2 linked regions of the Rattus norvegicus genome follow. The protein of the gene in region 1 interacts with the protein of each later gene in a pairwise test. Links are inferred from orthologs where the notes say so. Each region holds a gene or a part of one and is shown in the gene's direction. Other genes may lie near its edges. The genes, in order: Mycbpap and Mycbp.

Region 1 (3,823 bases):
CCAAGAACCAAGGTCTCACTACTGTTTGCTGTGTTGTTAGGAATTGCACCCAGAGCGTCACTAACCCACACATGCTTGATAGGCAAGCACTCTACTACTGAGCTGCATCCTGAGCCCTCAGTGTATCTTGTTTGTGTATTAAGATATGCAGAGGGCTGGAGAGATGGCTCAGTAGTTAAGAGCACCGACCTGCTCTTCCAGAGGTCCTGAGTTCAATTCCCAGCAACCACATGGTGGCTCACAACCATCCCTCTTCTGGTGTGTCTGAAGACAGCTACAGTGTATTCATATAAATAAAATAAATCTTAAAAAAAAAAAGATATGCAGAGAGCTCTTGGGACATAGCTCTTTACCTCTCTCCAGAAAAGAAGCGGGCGAAGGCACCTGAACAGCCCACCCCCCCCATCCAGGAAGAGCCTGAGCCTGTCAGCAATGTCTTACAAGGAGATGACATTCTTGCCTTGGCCATCAAAAAGGAAGACTTGACGAAGGTAAGACCAAGGCCAAGGATCTCTTAGAGCACCCAGCCATGTTCACGGTTCACCCCGCCACTGGCTTCCTAATCCCAAGGAGTCACTAATACCATGTCAGGAAAAAAAAATACACCAAATATAAATTCTTTCACTTTAGCATCTGAAGGAATTCACGGGAAGTTAGGTTTTCATATTTCTGAGATTTTATGAGAGCCACAAAATAGTGAGATACTTTGGGGCAAGTGCCATCAGGCCCATTCCACAGATGGGCAAGTAAGTCCAAGCATCACAGATAGAAATGAGCATGAGGCTGCTGAACTCCAGCCCTTCCCCTTACCTGTCATTTGCTCTTACTTAATCTGTCTGGACATGTCAGGTGTCATTTTTCCCCCTCCAGGTTACTCCTAAATCTCAGGTCTGTCACACAGACATTTCCAGAACAGGATGTATGGATGGGGCTGGGGAAGCCGACTAGTCAGCCCTCAGGAATTCTGCCAAGAACAGAGATGTGTGTGCACTCGTGTGTGTGTGTGTGTGTGTGTGTGTGTGTGTGTGTGTGTGTGTGCTTCCTCTTCTCCCCAGGTAGCATTCTCCTCAGCTTTGTTTCGTTTTAGCAACACATTCCTCAGTTTGAAGAAACAGGAGAAAAGCCTGTGGTTACACAGAAGTTTATCATCCGTAAGCTCAAACCGAAAGATTCTTGCAAAAGGGTCTACCACTTGGTAGCACATCCTGCTAATCCAGATGCCACCACAAAGCCTCTGGACTACTCCGGTATGGGTTCTGTTGTGGGCTTTGCATTCTTGGATGGGTCTCCAGCCAATAGTTGCTCTGTGTGTGACTCACAACTTCTGGGTCTCCATCCTTCTCTCCCTGCCTGCCAGGTCCTCGGGACAGCTTCTTAAGTAGTGACCAGATCCTCCCTCACCAGATCCTGGGGAGTCTTCAGGACTTTAAAAGAATCGCAGTTGCTCGGGGAAACACCCAGGTTTGTTTGCACAGAGCTAAGTGGCTGAGAGACGTTGCTGAAGCCATAGAGTCAAAGGGGCGTGTGTGGAGATGGGGGCCCAGGGGTAGGGTTTTAGAGCTAGTTGGACTCTGGGCCTGGATGATAAGGGACCCTTTGGGAGGCAGTTGCAAGTCACAGAAACCAGTTGCTGATAGACAGCTTTAGCTGAAGTGGGGATTTACTAGAAGGAACTCAGAGCCTGCCTTGTGAAACTCAAATAGCAAAGCAGACCTCAGCTCCTCATGCCCCTTCTCTGGAGACTGGATTGCTGAGATACATGCTGGAGGGAGATATCCCCCAATTCTGCCTCAGAGCCTTCACTTCTGTTAGGCAGGGCACTAAGGGCCCTGCTCACTTACTCAGGAGGAAGTCATCAATTGTGGAGAAGATGGCTACACCCTAAGGGATGCTGAGCTCTCTGGGCAGAGGGGACTGTCAGCATTCCTCAGGCCCTGGTTTGTTTTCTGTCACTTGTCACCCTCTGGTCCTGAACAGGAGGGATCCTTAGAGCAGGACAAAACCTAGGACCTGGGTCAGCACCTCCTCTACCTTGCTTTTTCCAGCTGGCTAAACTGATCAATATCCAGCCCTGCCTGATGACCCTCATCTCAGCTAAAGAAGAGCCAAAGCCAAAGTCCCCAAAGGAGGAGAAGAGGCCTCCATGGGCCCCACCTCTTCAGCACAACTTCCTCAAGAACTGGAGACGGCACATCACCTTGCGGAAGAAGCAACAGGAAGTTCTCAGTGGTAAGCTGAGCTGACTAGGGACCTGCCAGGCCCCCATCTGTCACCGAGGCTCGCCTGTGCCTTCTGTGTCTTCTCTCTCACCCACCCCGCAGCCCGGACTTACACTGACTAACATGAAGCTTCTGGGTTTCAGGCTTCAGTGTGTTCTGAAATGAGCCCGGGAGTAGACCACCCAATTCAGTGTGCTTTGTGTTTGGTGCAGCAATCACAGTCTTCCTTCTCTCCCTCTCTAGAGCACCTGAAGAAGCCAGCAAGTGAGCTGTTGATGAACAGTGGGGAGGGCTACAGAAAGATCCAGGAAGAGCGAGAGGCCATTGACCGTGCACTTCCTACCCAGCATGACAGAAAAGTGAGGAAGAGCGGGAGAGAGGAGTGTGGGTGGGGGAACAGCTCAGAATGCACATGGTGAACTGTATGGGAGGAAATCACCTTTTCTTTACCAAGCACTGTTAAGCCCTGGGATTCTTTATTTCATGTTCCATGACTGCCCACTTTAATAACTCAGCCTCTGGTGGTCTCTGGTATTTGGTTTATCATAAGAGTCTTAATGTTTGTCTCCTAAAGGTTTATACTCCAACCTTTGGTCCAACCAAGGTTTTGGTACATCCATGAGTGCCTGGGCTGGGACCCATCTTTCTGCCTTCTTGAGAACTAGAATATTGTTGAATGCCTCACTCTTCCGCCAGTGGGTCCGAGTGGATGTCCCAGTGAGTCTCTGACTATGGTACTGAGGGGGTGACCTCACTGCTCTGTCCTTCCTCATCTTGACTTTAAGGCGATGAATTGTTTCTGGAGCCCGCTGGAATACCTGGGTGATGAGAAGTCAGGTCTTCTCATGACCAAGAAGAAAAAGCAGCGTGGTCTGGTGGAACCCATCACACACATCAGGAAGCCCTTCTCTATCCAAATGGAGACTGGTGAGAAGCAGGGCTATAGGCTTACACTTTTCAAAACTTACTTTAATTAAGCAAGTAATTAAGCCTATCAGAGGAAGTAGGAAGGAAAGGTTAATAAGGTAAAAGAGGGTGTGGACCCTCTTTTAGAAATAGTTCTTTGGAGCGAATACAATCTGCCTTGTCAAGATATCAGAGGTTCAGTCCACACACATCAGCAGTAGCTTTATCCACTCGAAAACACCATGCACAAATCAGCAATGTCAGTTCTATCCAAAGGATACAGAGAGGCTCTGAGGCAAGAAGCCACTGGAACACCACCGGAAGTCCTTTGGTGGTGTTTCTATGAAGTCATGACAAATGATGACCAGCAAAGAGTGGCAAGGTGAACCAATACCACACAGTGTCATCCATTGTCTGTCTGCTGGGTTATATTTACACCCCTCCCAAGTATCACGTGTTCTCTCAAGCATCCACTCTAGCAAAACATTATGTGTCCTTTTCCCAGGCTGCTTCCAGAAAAACACCATATGTCTGTTCTCAGCAAAACATCCTCACATGTGTCTGCTTCAGCAGAACATCCTCTCCAGAACACAGTTTCCAGAAAAGCAGCACAGGAAAAACATCACATGATACAACTGTGTCTCCAAAGAAATGAGAAATTTCCACTTCAAGGGCCCAAATCTATTAGCTTCTTGTGC
Region 2 (2,679 bases), on another chromosome or scaffold:
GAAGGTGCTTGCTGCCAAGCCAAGTGGACCTGAGTTTGATTCGCAGAGGGTATAGGTCTCTGAACTGTGTCCTCTGATTTCTACCTCCTCCCCAATATTGTAATAACAGTAAATTTAGCTTCTAAAGCAAAAGCGAATATGATTTGGTTGAATTCTCTTCAGATAAAAAGCACAATTATTCCACAGAAAAGAACACAAAACTTAACACTTTGTGGCTCCAGCCATGCAGACACCAAGGCAGGAATTTGGGAGCTGGAGGGAAGTGAGGATGCAGTGACGGAAGGAAAAGGCAAGAGCACTAATAGTCACACCCTGTAGATCCTTGCCGGCCTAGTGGTGCAAGTGTTTAATCTCAGCACCTGGGAGGCAGCACTCAGAGAGGCAGGCAGTTTCTGTGAGCTCAAGGCCACCCTAGTTTACATAGTTTCAGGACAGCAAGGGCTGCACAGAGAGATGCCATCTTTAAAAGTAAGTAAATAATGACTAAGACTCCGTACAGATCAGTGGAAGTAAATGAAGAAACACTTTTAAATGTATTTTTTAAAGCAAAAAAGTAGTAGTAGGGATTTGAGATAATGTAACATACTAAGAGATGGTCAGATAGTTGCGATATAAATGTGGATTTCTCAAAAAACTGTGTATTTTGGTGTAAAAGTGCTTGCTCACTTGACATTTTTCATATTGTCTGTACTTTGTCATTAAAACTCGAAAACCCAGCACATGTACATTGGTTTACAACAGGATTTCTTAATTTGGACTCTCAAGTTATGCACATTGAAGTTGCATATTTTACTTTTGTCAGATTTTTATAACACTTGTACGGGGGGGGGGGGGTGCTGAGGCAGGAGGATTGCCATGAGTTTGAGGCTAGCTGGTAGTACAATAGTGAATTGTAGGTCAGCTTGGGTTACCTGTCTCAGCAACACACTGACTCAAGCATACACAGCCTTAGGAGAGTTTTTCAAATTGTCCTCAGCACAAGTGTGGAGACCTTGCCCCCTGCATACTGAATCCTTGTTCAGTAGGTGAGAGACAGTGTTGACAGGAAGTGCTAGCACATTGTTAATGCCAGTCTGAGCATGTTGACTGTGGTAACGTTTTTTTGGTTGGTGCCTAGCTTGTCATACATGAAACTTAATTCTTGAACGTTTCAAATGGAATGCTGTTAATTACCTAAAATGTCTTCAAGTACATTACATTAGATTTTTTGTTTTTGAGACAGGGCTCCTTGTAGTTCAGGTCTCCAGCTCATTGCTTTTCCAGGAATGATCTTGAACTCCTTAGTCCCCTGCTTCACCTCCTTAGTACTGAGAGTACAGGTATGGGTACCCGGCTTTCTTCTGGGCCATTTTCCATGTCCCACTTAAGTCAGGCTTGTATACAGCATTCAGGAGTGACCCTGCTACCTCCTTGCTTTCAAACTGTTGAAATAATGTTTGTAGTCCTTAGGATCAAAATTCAACTAAGCTTTTCTCAGTTGTCTCAGTCTGGCCCCAGACTATCTTTCCTTTTATTACCCACAACCCCACAACATACTTGACCTGTTGGTTCCCTTGTATATGCTTTGAGCTTTTCCATTTAATCTGAAATGCAGCTAGGTCTCAGATCTGCCTCTGATGCTGAGTATTCTAAAACTCACTAACCACTATTACAGCTGAGTATTCTCTTAGTTCCTTATCTTTTACGACAGATTGATGAGTTTGTTGCTAGCAAGGGTACTGTCTGACTTGTTCACCACTGTATGGACAGGACAGTCTTAGCAATCTGCTCACCGTACAGCAGGCAGACAGTGTTTACTGAGTTTCAGAATATTTCAGCCGTCTACACTGGAGACTTAATTGTTCTTTCTCTTTGATTTGCAGTGTTGGTAGCCTTATATGAAGAACCAGAGAAGCCCACCAGTGCTCTGGAGTATCCTTTTCATCTCTGAAGGGAAAAAGCCATATTTCTGACATTTTTATTTATTCACATATATAATGCGCTTTCAATACTTTGTTTGTTGAAAAGTTCTTTTGACTCTTCACCTGACCCTGGACAACCGCTGTGGTGTGGTGGTGACTGTCCTGGCCCACCCTGCTCTGAGTATGTTCTTAACACTGATGTCAGCTTTTTAAAGCATCACTTAGGAGCTGCCACCCCGGAGAACCCAGAAATAGAGCTGCTTCGCCTAGAATTGGCAGAAATGAAAGAGAAATATGAAGCTACTGTAGAAGAAAATAAAAAACTGAAAGCAAAGGTAAATTTAAAAACCAAATTCAAATTAAAAAGTAATCTTGCCTCTAATGATTATCTGACCAATCCTTACTGCAGGCCAGGGATATAGCTCAGTGGTCGAGCGTCTTTCTGGCATGAGTAGAAGGTCCTGGGTTCCATCTGTAGCATGATAAAACCACAGTAAACAACTAAACCCAAAACTCCACTAATGGGTAGCAGGGAGGGACAGTATCAGTTTCAGTCAGATCCATGGCAAACTTAAGCCTCATCTAGAAAAGTCCCAAGACCGATAAAAAGTTGGATAGGCAAGTATAGTCACGAAAAGGGAGTGAGAACCTACATCAATGAAAAGGTGGGGACATTGGCTGATACTGCTTAAAGTAAGTTCTTAAGCTGTTTAGGTCAGTCTAGGCCACTGCGTTGTTAAGACACAGTCTGCATTGTCTGAAGCATGCTAGCTCCAGG

Evidence for each region.
Region 2: the proteins of Mycbpap (region 1) and Mycbp interact in binary tests that used the Homo sapiens proteins (3 or more experiments, as listed by UniProt). The link is inferred for Rattus norvegicus from reciprocal best matches to the Homo sapiens genes MYCBPAP and MYCBP.

What each region holds. Positions count from the first base shown.
Region 1 is NC_086028.1:79,957,136-79,960,958, reverse strand, and holds part of Mycbpap (MYCBP-associated protein), read left to right. Parts: exon of another isoform or gene 1-363; coding exon 364-491; intron 492-1,087; coding exon 1,088-1,247; intron 1,248-1,357; coding exon 1,358-1,461; intron 1,462-2,045; coding exon 2,046-2,229; intron 2,230-2,462; coding exon 2,463-2,578; intron 2,579-3,004; coding exon 3,005-3,146; intron 3,147-3,823. UniProt on the Homo sapiens protein: May play a role in spermatogenesis. May be involved in synaptic processes.
Region 2 is NC_086023.1:141,423,407-141,426,085, forward strand, and holds part of Mycbp (C-Myc-binding protein), read left to right. Parts: intron 1-1,862; coding exon 1,863-1,911; intron 1,912-2,106; coding exon 2,107-2,236; intron 2,237-2,679. UniProt on the Homo sapiens protein: May control the transcriptional activity of MYC. Stimulates the activation of E box-dependent transcription by MYC.